Arabidopsis thaliana: one gene and its partner. The protein of the gene in region 1 interacts with the protein of each later gene in a pairwise test. Each region holds a gene or a part of one and is shown in the gene's direction. Other genes may lie near its edges.

Region 1 (8,434 bases):
GAAAATAAAATCATAGACTAATCGTTGAGGGAAATAAAATGTGCAAAAAATGAAGAATAAAAACAAAAAGGAATTGGTGAGAGGAGTCATAGAAGAAGAGTCAGTCGTGTGTTCAATCCTCGTGGCCGTGGGTGTTGAGGTTCCTCACTCTCCACATGATATCACGTTTCTCGTGGTGCGGAGAGACAGACGTGAAAAGAACGTTGTTTGAGCTTTTGCTTTTCTTAAAAGGAGCTAAATAATTGTTGGGCTTTCTAAATTCCAAAAAGTCAGCCACTCGTGAAAACTCTTAAATGGGCTCTCACTAGGTAGCCTCGTAGCTCAGTTGTGAAGAAACCCAACAAAAAACCTGTGTATACTAATTTATTTCGAGCAAGCGGAGTTATGTTACCAACTGAATCATTCTAATTTGAGAATTTCTAACCATTTAACCAACCAAGGAGATGAACATGAGCCAAGACCACATGTTAGGATTCCACATTAGCAATTTCACAAGTGACATGAAGTAACAACTGATATATACGTAATTCATCTATTTGTCGTCAATTGTGATAATTAAAAACCCATAAAACTTAATACAATATTAAAGTTTTGATTCACTGATCCAAATAAAATGGTCGAAATATAGTTAAGGGATTTGGTTTGAGATGCACCGAAAATAGTAATCATTTCGAAGATGTTTGTTAAATTCTATATTGGACGTTTGAAAACAACTTATAAGGTTAGACTTTTTGTTTGACAAGTTGTTTATGAATTAAGTAAGTTTATTAAATTCAAACTACTTTTTCAAAAGAAAACAAATTATTGCATTCAAACTAACTCTGAAATTAAGTTTGAAAACCAAAATTTAACAAAAAAATAAGTTTGAAACCCAACAAATTATGCATTAGAGAATTTTATTATTGATTTCATATGCTAAGGTTGGAAGACTATGCGGTCAAAACCCTACCACTAGGTCTTTATTTCTACCCTATTTGCACTGACCCTACAACAGTACCAATTTCATTTTATAGGACGATGAACTGGATGATAACTAACCAATTGTCCAACTGATGTGTGGTCCAATTCTCAACGATGGGTCGCCCTATATTCTCGGGGGTTGACGTAAATCAGTTCCATATTACACAATCTTACCATTTGAAAATCACCAATACGTAAATCATTTTATTTAAGAACAACAACAAAGACAGAAGGTTTTGGTTGGACATTTGGGTCAATAAGTCATGCTTTATATTGTAGAATAAGAATAGTAAGTAAATTGCTCATGTTTCTGCGATCCATATTTAACAAATTATTCTAGTCATTTATTTATTTTAAGTTATATCTTTAGGAGTACGAAATTTGTTTACACATTTTAAAAAGGTAATAGTATTTTAGATTTTGAATCATAGATATAGAAAATGATACAAAATTTTGTTTTACCTGGATCACCATTTTTAAATGGACGGCCACCATATTAGACATCAAATGCCCATTTATCTAAGAGCCATATTGGTTGTCTTGGTCCCAAAAACCTAGATTTCTAAATAATAATGGATTCTATAGATACCAAAGCAAGTGTCCATTTACACTAGCTTGTAGCTTCGCTTAATTTAGTTGCTATATATGTCCACATCATTCGCATATGCTATCTGACACATAAAATAAATGTAATTTAGTATATTTAGTTCATATTTGATTAATTTCGGTTACAATTTTCATATTGTACTCTATTAAAATTCTAATAATTGATATTTTTTTTGTACAAAGGTTAAATTAATAATTGATATTTTGTAGGTATAAGTGAAGCTTTTCTTGTTAACATGCGTTTAAGATGGTTAATAGTTTTTTTTGACATGTAAACAATCGATCATATGGATCGTTCTTAAAAGATTTTTATGTTTTTTTTACTTGAGATGCTTAACACACTTACCATGCATGTGAGATGTGTCATGCATATTAGGTATTTAGAGCAAATCCAGTAGTGGTTTCTAAGCAAAATTTCTAACCTATAATAATAATAATAAAATAATAAATAATATTATTTAATTAAGATAGTTTTTAAGGAAATGTGAGAGAGTTTCTAATTCAAGAGATTTTGAATACTCTTCTACCTATTTTAAGAAACTTTTCAAATTAAATAATATTATTTCTTATTTTATTATTACTTTAGTAGATTAGAAACTATGGTTAGAAACCACCATTGGACATGCTTAGGTTAAACTTGAATTTCAATCATTTTCCGGATCTGTAAAGAATATGATATTACTACTCTTAAACAATTATCAAGGGTATTAAATTGGAATTTTATTATCAATCGAATTCGTGGAATATTTGTCACGTTTAATCAAAAAGTCACTTATGTAAAGCGTTTGCATGGTAACTGTCGCATTTTAAGCAAATTAAAACACTATTGATGCATATGGAGGATATAAAGTCATTGATTAATTATGTGTTTTTTTTTTTTGGTATCAAGATTAATTATGTGTTATACTAATGATATCTAACATGTATTCAAGGAAGAATTGTGGATACAGAAAACTGAAGTATATAATTTGCGTGGGGGAATTTATATTGGGCACACTTGAACAGCATTTGTGAAAATTCTTGACGTTAAAGGAAAATGAAAAATGTGTGTGTTCGTTTACATAAATACAAAAAATAAAGGTGCTCTATATCCTAATACAAAACCTAGGGGGTAGAAGCTGAGGTGGATCGCAATAGAAGAAGATGGTCGGCTCTCACTCTCGAGATCGGACGGCTGAGAAGAGAAGAGAAGAGAAGAGAAGGAGAGGATGCGTTTCTTACGGGGAGAGAGAAATAAGGCCAAACAGGTAGAGCCCACAAGATGACTAATCTCCACCGTCCAACTCAAAAACAACATCAACAACAACACATCACACCAAATATTATTCGGTTTCTCTCTTCAGGTCCGACTCAATACTGTCATACACCACATCCACTACTCTACTACTACAGACTTTTTGGTGCTCTTCCCCCTGTGGAGTCCAAATCCTTTGACACGTGTCGTTTTCTCAAGAGATTCACTGTCCCACTCTCTGCGTGATTCCCCCCCACATCTGACGGCTGCAGTTCGCCGCCGGTCTACTCATCCGTCAAACGCCGGTTACTGCTCAGACTTTGGTTTGATCAAAATAAATAAAAAAAGATCAACGGCTGGAAGAGGAAGTAGAGGTTGAATCTGGACCCTTAGATTTATATATACTAAAAAAAGGTATTTGGGTCTTCATGTCAGTAGAGGCGTTTCTCTTGCTTGTTTAACACAACACTCCCCCACTCTTCACATTTCTTCTATTTTCTTCTAATTTCTACATCTCATCACATGTAGCACACAAAGTCACAAACACTTGTACTGGAAATGATTGAAAGAGAAATATGTCTTATATTTGCGGATATATAAATGTGCTTTCACTTCAATATCATTTAAAAAAAAAAAAAACTCTAATTTTCTCTGCTAATTGTTACGTTTGTAAATATATTTTTTAATAGAAAATAACTATGAAAAATCCGAGTGCAACTATAGATTGTAGATAAAAGGGACAAAAGTTGAAAGGAAGTGGAAGCAGCAAAAGATGTTTCAATGGATAGGGGAGTCATGACGTGACTAATACACTTCTTTTTATAAAATGTACTATACATTAGTACTAAATACAGTATTGTACAAATATTCCCGTAAAAACAGTTTTAATTTTTAATCAAAAACAACTATCAAATATGGATAAATTAGCGTCCATAGTTAAACAAAAAATGCTACCCTAGCTAAAATCTCCATTTCTTAGAAAAGAAAAAAAATTCTATAATATATAATACCTCAAATGAAAAATGACACATTGTACACGTTCATCAAATGGGAATAGTATTAGTACTAGTAACCTAAAGATTTGGTAAGAATTAAGAACAAACAAAAACTAGAGAAGAGAGAGATATGTAAGAAGAAACACATGAATAATGGGACAATTTTATTATTAGAATTAAGAGATAAATGAAAAAGATTCGTGGGACGGCGGGCGCATAGTTCAGAGTGTGTCAGAGTCAGACCAAACCCTTTCTCTTATCTCTCTCTCTTACGAAGAATCCATCAAAAATCCCACATACACACAATATACGTGTATCTATATATTCCTTCAAATAAAAGTGACAGTTTTTTAAGAAATATAATTAAATTGTTTAAATTCTCTTTTTTCGTCTTCTTCTTGCTTTTTCAAAAACCAGCTTTACCTTTCCACACACACTTCTTCGTTTCTCTCTCTCTCTTTCTCCTTAGCTTCCTCTTCAAGTTTTTTTTGATCAGCTGCAAATTTCCATAGCCATGGACACTGCTAAATGGCCTCAGGTATACTTATCTTCACTACTTTCCTCCTTCATCAAAAAAAGATTCTGGTTTTGTATTAAAAAGTTTCCATTGTATGCTTTGTGTTTGTTCTTGCCAAAATAAAAAATAAAAAAGGAGTTTGTTGTGAAGCCAATGAACGAGATCGTGACAAACACATGCCTAAAACAACAGTCGAATCCTCCTTCTCCTGCTACTCCTGTGGAAAGGAAGGCAAGACCGGAGAAAGACCAGGCTTTGAACTGTCCAAGATGCAACTCCTTAAACACCAAGTTCTGTTACTACAACAACTACAGCCTGACGCAGCCCAGGTACTTTTGTAAAGACTGCAGGAGGTATTGGACCGCAGGTGGTTCCCTCAGGAACATCCCCGTCGGTGGCGGCGTCCGCAAGAACAAGAGATCTTCTTCCAATTCCTCTTCCTCTTCACCCTCTTCGTCTTCTTCTTCAAAGAAACCTCTTTTTGCCAACAACAACACGCCTACGCCTCCTCTTCCTCATCTTAACCCTAAGATTGGTGAAGCAGCCGCTACTAAAGTTCAAGACTTGACGTTTTCTCAAGGGTTTGGGAACGCCCACGAGGTTAAAGATCTCAACTTGGCGTTTTCTCAAGGGTTTGGGATCGGTCACAATCATCACAGTAGTATCCCAGAGTTTCTGCAAGTAGTACCCAGCAGCAGTATGAAGAACAACCCACTGGTCTCAACTTCCTCGTCTTTGGAGCTTTTAGGGATCTCTAGTTCCTCTGCTTCCTCTAACTCACGCCCTGCTTTCATGTCTTATCCAAATGTTCATGATTCATCGGTCTACACAGCATCCGGGTTTGGTCTGAGTTACCCACAGTTTCAAGAGTTCATGAGACCAGCTTTGGGATTCTCTCTTGATGGTGGGGATCCTCTACGTCAAGAAGAGGGGTCCAGTGGCACTAATAATGGAAGGCCGTTGCTGCCATTTGAGAGCCTCCTCAAACTTCCAGTTTCATCATCAAGCACCAATAGTGGTGGGAATGGCAATCTGAAAGAGAATAATGATGAGCATAGTGATCATGAACATGAGAAAGAAGAAGGAGAAGCTGACCAATCTGTTGGGTTTTGGAGTGGCATGTTAAGTGCTGGTGCTTCTGCTGCTGCATCTGGTGGTTCATGGCAATAATTTTAGTCATGGACCCCATCCCATGAGAGTTTTTAGAAGAAATGATTACATTTTTCACCCATGTTTTAAAAAGATGAGAGGGTTAACTATATAATCTGGGTGCTTACTATTTTAGTCCTTTTCCTTTGGTTTCCTTCTCCTTTTCTAAAAATTATTATTAACTTTGTTGGGTTGGGGATGGATACTGTATGTATTTAGACTCTCTTTTAAATCAATCTCAGTTGTTAGTTACCTAACTTTATGACATCTTTCCATTAATCTTGATATATTTATGGTGTATATATTAGTGTCACAAACGAAACAATTTTAGTTAGTGTAAAGGCCGGTGTACCAAATTCAGAGGTGTAGAGAGAAATGGTCATTGTCCTCTTTGAGACATAAAGCCTGTCATCTCAATATGCTAGTGTATACTTTCGCTAAACCCGAAACCCATTTAATTCCGATATTAATCACATGTGTACACTTTATTTATACTTACAAAAATTCTACTAAAACCCTTGTAGTGAAGAATATCAAGAGAAAAGACTCTCGTTATGAAATCGTTTTGGTTCTTTGTTTGTTTAGGAACACTTGAAAGGGGAAAGGATGATTGAGTCGAAGCGGGTTTGAAGAGAAAGAGAGACCACAAAACACAGTCAGTTTCTTAAGGCACTTTTTCATTCAAATGCAAAAGTATAAAATAAAATTTTACTCATAGAAAAATGGACCTACCCCCAACATTCCTCTTGGACTTCGTACCATCATCATTGCTCCAACAACTCTCTCGCACAGAAGATCAATACTACAACACATGTTTGTTGGGTGTTAAGCATATGAAGAGAGAGAGAGAGGGTTATGATGGTAAAGTGGCAGATGATGAGTTTGGTTTAGTTAAAGAATTCAGCTTATAACCATTTTATCTTAGGTGTTATAAAAAGAGAGAGATATGAACATGTGAACTAATAGTGGACAATTTAAAGCCCGTTTTGTTTGTAGTCGCATTCCAAAAGTCATCGTTACCTTTTGAGTCTCTGTGGGCAAATGGCAATCTAGCTCGTAGATTTAGTTGCTGTTGCAATTGACTCTCCAACAACACTTCTCATTTGATTCATACCTTTTGTTTTCACATTTATATAATTCACAACTAACCAACTAGGACAAATTTATTAATTCCGAACCAGAACAGTGTCAAATGTAATCAACAATACTAGTCAGTTTGGAATTCACTTTGTTTGCTCGATTATTAACAACAATATAGATTCATTTTCAATTGGATATTTACAAGTACAAAAATTCTGCTGACATAAAAGAAAAGACCGATTGGAGTGCTGTTTTGTTTAGTCAAGGAAAAAGAGTCACATCAAACATGGCACACTTGGTCAGCAATGACACCACACACAACAAATCATCCTTCTTTTTCGTTTTCTGTCTTTTCACATAACAACAGTAAGTAACAATCCAAAACTGACAATGTCGACTGTATATATATTATATTATAGGATTTAGAAAGAAAAAAACCTTAACCTCGGGTTTAAACTTAAGAAGATGATCTGTTTTTTGGGCAAAAGAAGATAACAAAACTGGCTTGTGTTCTTTTAGCCAACTTGTGATATTGACCATTTCAAGAAGAGCAGTTTAGACATATACCAAATCTCATTAGCGTAATTTCATTGTTCTGCATTGATTCCAAAGATACGAACCTTGTGCATGTGCGGGAACTTTGCAAATTGCAACCACCATATAAATACAGCGAGCGTGTTGAGAAACATCATCGGATGTTGATAGTACATCGTATGAGATGCTATCAAGTACCTAGTACATGCAAAGTCAGAACATTTCATTCATAAGATTCTCACTTCTCACCAAGAATATATCCAAACTTACTTATATATATATATATATATATATATATATATATATATATATATATATATATATTGTCCCACTACACAACAGAAAACGACTAAGATTTCATATTCATTACAACAACTAAGAGCTTTCTAGTAGTCTTTCTATACTTGTCTGAAGAATTCATATACGGAATATACTAGTCTTTCTAAGATTTCATATTCATTACAACAACTAAGAGCTAAACCCAAGCAGAGAACTGCCAAACAGATATAACATGCATAAAGTTTTTCAATGATACACAACTACTGTATAGAATGTATAGGGGTTATATGAATTTCTTCAAAAAGGAATGAGAAACACAACTGACTCTAAACTCTCTCTACCAAGAACCAAGGAACATGCAAATTTCAATCTCAAAAAAGAGACAAAATGGGAATAAGAGAAGGACATTGCTTCTTTGAACATTAGAAATACATAAGGCTTATGCAAATGGTAGTCACATAATGTTTCAGATCAGCAAATTGAAGAGGGACACATAATACACAAACAGTATAAATAAGCAAAATGGCAATAATCAATTCTCCTCCCTCTGTTTCCTTCTCTCATCATGATACTCATAATAATCAATTCTCCTTCGTTTCTGTCTCTCTCTATTCAAAGAAGGATTATAATTATAGACGTATATCGAATCTTCTTCTATCTGGGCTAGAGCCCGATTGGGCTCATAAAAGCCCATCATCATTCTATCTTACCAAGCCCAGAAGAAACAAACTGTGAGCTCTCGCCCCGCCGTTTGAGATTTAAAAAGGTAGCATAGTGAGTGAGTGAGTGACACTGTTTAAGTAGTACTAATTTAAAAGGCACAAAAAAAAAGGACAAGTGAGAATCTGACAGGTGATGGGTGTGTTTTGCTTCCTTCTTACCCGACCACCCAAAGCCCTCATAATCAACATGTGTCATCATCACCAGCTGCCTATCCATTCATCTTCCTCCACGTGTCTTGTCTTGCTGACGCATCAAGAATCTTTCCTCCTCGAGTCCTCGTCCCTCGTGAAAACAGGCAGGTCCCGCGCTTTTTCTGGGCACACAAACCCTATATTTCTTCTTCTTCTTGATTAAAGA
Region 2 (7,155 bases), on another chromosome or scaffold:
TGTAAATTACCCTTTTAAAATCCCTTGTAAATCTTATAAAACCCCTATAAAATCCCTTGTAAATCTTTTAAAACTCTTTTAAAATCCCTTGTAAATCTATTTCCCGCCAAAAAAAAAAAATTGGCGGGAAAAATATGTTTGAAAACAAATTTTGGCGGGAAATTTATTTTGGAATATTTTTGGCGAAAAAATATTAATTTTTCATTTTGTTAACCTAAAACAATTTCCAAATAAGGGTAAAATGGTCATTAAAAATTTAAAGAGGGTAGAAATAAAATTGGATAAAACAAAAGGGTAAAGTTGAAAAAGGGCATCATGAAAAGGGCATTAGAAAAAAAAATTCTTAAAGGGATAATAATTAATATATTAAACTATTAAGTTGATTAACTGATTTTTTTTGTGTTAATATATTATCAAAACAAAACTTGTTTTTTTTTTTTTTTTTTTTTCATCCAAAACAAAACTTGTTTTATTTATTGATTTTTGTAAATAACTGTTTTTCTTAGCTTTTATTACTTCTTATGTTGGATGTTCGTGTTTGGTCTGAGAATTACCTCCTTAAGCACAAGTTGTTCCTTTATAAATGAGCTCCATTTAGGCATAATGATGTGAACCCTTTAGTTTTTGTTGGTGTAGACTCAAATTAGAGAGAGGAGTCGCTGAGATTGATAAGCTAGCAAACAGAATCTTCCATATCGACAAGCTTGGGAATCAACCTGAATTGTGATAGAAGAGAGAAAACATTTTCTAGGAAACTAAATTGTCTCTTTTGAATTTGAAATACTTTATTTGGAGCTTGTTTGCTTAGCGCATATCTCGAATTTGATTATATCTCGCAAGATAATTATGTGACGTTTTTGAATTATGTAAACATCTCAATAAGTGATATAGGAAAATTTAACTTACAAACAGAAAAATAAGCGATTTTTTCAATACATTCTAATAGTTGAATACATTAATTAGAATTAGGAGGGATACAATAATAGATAACTACAATTCATTCGTCATGTTCTAAAAATAGAGAGCAATAAGTACGACGGACAGTACCGTCACTACTTGGCGTCATGGTAGATAGGTAGTGGATCTGCTAGATATATGAGAACGGAAAGAACCAGAAGCTATTAGAGGCGGGAGGAGATATGTGGGGATGATTTCAGTGCAATTCCACGACGCACCATTTCCACTTTCGTAACACCTAAACGACCGCTTCGGCCGTATAAAATCGCAAATGTTTGGTCTCAGTGTATTTTTCCAATTTCCAAATACATCAATTCAAATTATATAATATCTAGTGGCAATTATAAGTATATCATATATTTTCAAAATTAATTAAAAAGATTACTAAATTATGTTTGACTACAACTATTATAATAGTTAAAAACATAAACAAAAACAAAGAAACTATTTTAATAAAAAAATCAAGTAAACATTAAAACATAAGCAAAAAATAATGTTAAAGAAATTATTAATTATTAATTTACTAATAATTAATACCTCTATAAATTAATTGTTAGAGGTTTAACGTAATTTATAAGGAAAACTAAAGAAGACTTTAACCCATAAAGAAAAAAACAAAGACTGAATTGAAGGCCCATATTTAGAAGAAGAGAAAGAAGACCCAAATATGATATAAAATCCAGCCCATTTATATATTTTTATTTTGTTTCTGGAAGGAAAATAAGAAAATGGCAAAAACGAAATAATCTGAAAAAGTAAGGTCTTTTACCAAAAAGGATATTTTTTTTATAAACAGAGCATAAAGTTTTCACTTTTCTTCTGCTCCTTTCTCGTCTCTGTCTTCTTCGTCCTCATTCGTTTTAAAGCATCAAAATTTCATCAACCCAAAATAGATTAAAAAAATCTGTAGCTTTCGCATGTAAATCTCTCTTTGAAGGTTCCTAACTCGTTAATCGTAACTCACAGTGACTCGTTCGAGTCAAAGTCTCTGTCTTTAGCTCAAACCATGGCTAGTAACAACCCTCACGACAACCTTTCTGACCAAACTCCTTCTGATGATTTCTTCGAGCAAATCCTCGGCCTTCCTAACTTCTCAGCCTCTTCTGCCGCCGGTTTATCTGGAGTTGACGGAGGATTAGGTGGTGGAGCACCGCCTATGATGCTGCAGTTGGGTTCCGGAGAAGAAGGAAGTCACATGGGTGGCTTAGGAGGAAGTGGACCAACTGGGTTTCACAATCAGATGTTTCCTTTGGGGTTAAGTCTTGATCAAGGGAAAGGACCTGGGTTTCTTAGACCTGAAGGAGGACATGGAAGTGGGAAAAGATTCTCAGATGATGTTGTTGATAATCGATGTTCTTCTATGAAACCTGTAAGTTCTGTTCTTGCTTTGGTGTTTGATTATTAGAAATGGGAAGAAATCGAATTTGAGGGTTTTGAAGAGAACATTTTTGGTAACTTTTGTTTTAGTTTTTGATTTGTGGTAAGTAACTTTAACAAAGTTGATGATTTGCGTTATGTGCTTTATTTTGGCTCAGACTTGTTGAATCTAATCGATTTTGGTTTGTTTAGTAAACTAAGGTTAGCTCTTGTTACTCTATGAGCAACTTCTCACTAGTTCATGTAGCTGCGTGGCTTATCTTGCCTTCTAAGTTGGTCAAATGAGTAATCTTAAGGGTCTAACTTAAATTATTCTCTTACAACTAATGGAGTCAAATCCTTGTGCAAATGGTTTATTTTCGTTTGGTCTTATTTCTTCTGTGTGTTGTCTGGAAGGTTTTCCACGGGCAGCCTATGCAACAGCCACCTCCATCGGCCCCACATCAGCCTACTTCAATCCGTCCCAGGGTTCGAGCTAGGCGTGGTCAGGCTACTGATCCACATAGCATCGCTGAGCGGGTATATTTCAGATTCTCTTTTGTATTTCCCTGTGATATACTATGTTGGTGGCGAGTTGGTTGTAGTTGAAAATATGTTTCGGATATAAAAAAATGTTAACATTGTGTAATGATCTCTTGATTTTATGGAGGGATTACCTAAAAGTTTGTTTTACTTTACCACAGCTACGTAGAGAAAGAATAGCAGAACGGATCAGGGCGCTGCAGGAACTTGTACCTACTGTGAACAAGGTCTGTACCTTTCACCCTAACCCTCACCTGTATATAATTTCTCTAGAAAGTTTGACACTTTCTGTTTCTCCCGTCTTCGTGTGCAGACCGATAGAGCTGCTATGATCGATGAGATTGTCGATTATGTAAAGTTTCTCAGGCTCCAAGTCAAGGTATATTCTTCTCTCTTCTGCAGTTTTAAACTCGAACTCTCTTTCTTGTGAATTATCTTATTACTCCCTATGCAATATGTTTAATCTGTTTGTTCATAAGATTAGAGATCTAAAGATCATGTCTTTCAAATTCTCTGGATGGATTTTTGGTGTTAATTCTGGTCCCACCATTACCTACCCTTCAACCAAATTTCAATCTGATTAGATCAGTTATTTAATGTGGGAAAGAATAAACAAGTCCAAAATGCTTTTGTTTTCTTTGGCATTTAGTCTCTTTTCACTTTTTGTTTTGTCATAGGGAGCCTAATCACAGTTTATGATTATAATACCATATTCAACAATAATTACAATCATCATGTTCACATTATAATATAGTAATCTGGTAGATCATCAAATGCTTCTTATATCAAAATGCAGTCGGTTACTTAAAGCTCTCGCAAGCGAAAAAAGGAAGTCTCTTTACTTTATAAGATAATGGAGACACTAAAGAAACAGAATGCAATGATGGATTTCTGATAAGATAATACATCTTTTGTTTTAAAAATAGAAAATGTGTTTCTTGTGAAATCTTCCATGCTCATCTAAAAGTAAAAGCTTTTTTTATATATATAATTTTCATGGGGTGAAGCTTATCACTTTCAATGATATCTGTTTCTCTTTGTCAACTTTGGTAGGTTTTGAGCATGAGCCGACTTGGTGGAGCCGGTGCGGTTGCTCCACTTGTTACTGATATGCCTCTTTCATCATCAGTTGAGGTAAAAACTTTTTAAGAACAAAAAGTAAAAACTTTAGTAATGGGGTTTTGATTCAGATTTTGCTTAAAATGTCAATAGGATGAAACGGGTGAGGGTGGAAGGACTCCGCAACCAGCGTGGGAGAAATGGTCTAACGATGGGACTGAACGTCAAGTGGCTAAACTGATGGAAGAGAACGTTGGAGCCGCGATGCAGCTTCTTCAATCAAAGGCTCTTTGTATGATGCCAATCTCATTGGCAATGGCAATTTACCATTCTCAACCTCCGGATACATCTTCAGTGGTCAAGCCTGAGAACAATCCTCCACAGTAGGATTTCTGCAATAAAGAGTTTGTACAGCTAATCCAACTGTCCAACATGGGTTTTTCTTCTGCTCTAATGACTCTGGTTTCTTCTCTCCTCTCTCACCCACTTGAAAGGTAAAAAAGTGAAAAAGGCTTTGTAGATGGAATCAATGTAGGATTTGCAGTAGAGGGAAAAAAAATGTCAAAAAGCTCAATTGATCAAGTATTATTGTAATCATTGTACCTTTATTTTAGGTGGACTTTGATGAAAGCAACTTTTTGTTTTCAAGACTTTAGTGGGAGGTTGAGGAAGGAGCTTGAAGGGTGTTATTTATTAGTAGTAGTAGTAGTGGGAAGTTGTGGGACCTTGTTGAGTTGTGTTCAAATTGAAGAAAAAACAAGTATTTGTAATTTGTCACCCCTTGTATTATTATTTATTTTGTATGACTTTGGAGTAGTATAATTAATTATCAAATAATATTATTAGTTTGATCTAGTAACCATCCTTTGTTTGATAACACTAGAAACATAAAGCAAATATTTTAGGAGAAAGTACCATGAATTGTGCTTCTTTTTTTTAGTGGTACGTGTACAATTTTAACTTCCAAATCTCAAATGCTAAGATATATACACTTTGGACAGAACATGTATCAATTTAAACTTGCATGTTTACATTTTGCATTGATTAGTGAAGACAAAATACAACTTTTATTAATATTGTTAGTTTTGGAAAAATATAGCCAAAAAAAAAACTCATCGAAGAATTAAAGTTATTGATATGATTATTTCATGTGATTCATTAAATCATTCTGCCAAATTTATTTTTTGAGTAAAGTTTGGAAAATCTTGTGTCTTTTGAAGTAACAGATAAAAGTTTTGTTTTTATTACAATTTCACATGAATCTTAGAGTGAGATAATAATAAACGAAGATGATTTGGCAATTTGTTTAAAATGGGTCTAAATTCCAAAACCAAGAAGACTACAAAGAGTATGCAAACTCAATTTGATGCGGTACAGGCGTCAAACATACATCGCTATAGCCTTTGCGTTATTGAACCACATAAAACTGCGGCAAACAGAACTTAGCTTTAGCATGCATCAAGATCACGGAATTGTGGTGGCTTAGGCTCACCAAGCAGTGTCTTATTCCCTCCTTCTGGTCCACACTTGATCCTCTTCGGGTTCTGAGTTCCATGCTGAAAAACAAAGATTAACATTATAAGAAGTTGGATTTGGATTTTGGATTTGGATTTTGGCTTAGAGGCTACGTTCTCCAATTTGGAAAGTTAACCGAAACCAGATTGTTTTCCCCCACCGATGTAATGCAATAGTAAGAGAAGAACATCAGGAAAGTATCCAAATGCAATGGGTTGTTAATGTCTTACCGGTGGCTTTTCTCCTTTTCTCAGCTTTTCAACAATTTCTACGACTTTCTCAGGTGTAACATCTTCCTGTGTATTGTAGCATAAGACAGTGTAAGTATGATTTCACTCTTCCGACGTAACCCACATAAACAATAGGATAATGCAGGAGAAAAAGAAAAATTGTTCAACGAGATTTGACATACGAAATAGTTATATGTATATCCTTCTGATCCATTGGAATAGTCAGCCACAGTGATCATGGGTGCATTAACACAACATCCCTGTAACAAAACCAAACACATTAGATCTGCATTGAATCTTTTCATGTGAAAGTACTAATCTTGGTTATTGTTCTGCATGGATTAATGAATTGAGGTGACGCAAAATCCATACCATGCACTCCATCTCTCCAACAGAGAACAAACCATCCTTTGTGACCTCTGCACAAAAAACATTAAGACCAAAGATCGTTATGACTGATCATCACCTCCATATGATTTTGGTTATGAAAGGAAGCACATAGAGCTTTACCACCGCGTTTCACTCCCAAATGGTCTAGCAAAGCTGATTCGATGTCTCGTGAACCACGGATCATGCAAGGTGTTGTGCCACAAACTAGAAGGTGATACTTTCCAACCTGTAAGAGCAAAAGAAAAATGAGCCTGCAATGCGTCTTTCATTGAGTACAGTAGAGACTTGAGTTTAGGGGTAGAAAGTACTTCTTACCTTTGCTCTGTTGAACATTGAGTAAAATGTTGCAACCTCATAAACACGGATAGGGGCAACTTCTATAACTTTAGCAACCTGCAAAAGTTTGTTGCATTGTTATGACGGTAAAATCATATCAATGAATGTTGTATTCCAAAAAAGAACTTAAGAAGTACATAAAATTAAGTCTTAACAGAGAAAATCGAACAAAAAAATCTTAGAAGACATACCGCATTCATTGCTGAAACAGGGAGCCAGCCTCCATTCTGCTGTTGTGCAAGATCTAGGAGAGGAATAACTGCGGACTGCTTGTAATTGGATGGATAGTAAGAGAGAATCTCCTTAACCTACACATTTTGGACATAACAATTCAGTAAGTCTGGATGCATGCGGAAATCGATTTCACCGTTAATGCAAGATTACTGTAGCCAGAAATGAAAGATACAGTAAACTGGAACTAAATGCACAAGAAAGTATTAGGATTTAAACTACAATGAAACCGGTTTACTAATTTCTGGACAGTCTTTCTGCCACACTAGCAGATTCAAATCTGTTGGCCATTTGGGTCGTTCACTCTAAGTCTCTCCCTTAAATCAGTTCCAGAATAGCCGATTCTAAATATGTAACAACAAATAAGCAATCAAAAATATCAGAAAATCCCAGTCTTTGTCTTTTAATATCCTTTGGTAGAATGCTAACTAAGAGAACCATAATTCATAATCAGGAGACAGGGACTAGTTATAACTAGGGTCAAACAAAGGGCTAAAGATTAGGGAACGAGGGCTAAAGATTCCAACATTTTCACGAA

Evidence for each region. Proteins that work in one complex are often made in the same cells at the same time.
Region 2: the proteins of AT1G64620 (region 1) and UNE12 interact in a two-hybrid assay, tested with the Arabidopsis thaliana proteins (one study listed by BioGRID).

Annotation. Positions count from the first base shown.
Region 1 is NC_003070.9:24,002,979-24,011,412, forward strand, and holds AT1G64620 (Dof-type zinc finger DNA-binding family protein), read left to right. Parts: upstream 1-3,934; 5' UTR 3,935-4,309; coding exon 4,310-4,333; intron 4,334-4,447; coding exon 4,448-5,482; 3' UTR 5,483-6,437; downstream 6,438-8,434. UniProt on the Arabidopsis thaliana protein: Transcription factor that binds specifically to a 5'-AA[AG]G-3' consensus core sequence.
Region 2 is NC_003075.7:1,135,115-1,142,269, reverse strand, and holds UNE12 (basic helix-loop-helix (bHLH) DNA-binding superfamily protein), read left to right. Parts: upstream 1-1,729; 5' UTR 1,730-1,963; coding exon 1,964-2,326; intron 2,327-2,730; coding exon 2,731-2,853; intron 2,854-3,017; coding exon 3,018-3,083; intron 3,084-3,169; coding exon 3,170-3,235; intron 3,236-3,909; coding exon 3,910-3,990; intron 3,991-4,068; coding exon 4,069-4,302; 3' UTR 4,303-4,783; downstream 4,784-7,155. Other genes in the region: AT4G02580 (NADH-ubiquinone oxidoreductase 24 kDa subunit), read right to left, coding at 5,364-5,471, 5,661-5,726, 5,843-5,920, 6,033-6,079, 6,171-6,276, 6,366-6,443, 6,578-6,694. UniProt on the Arabidopsis thaliana protein: Required for ovule fertilization.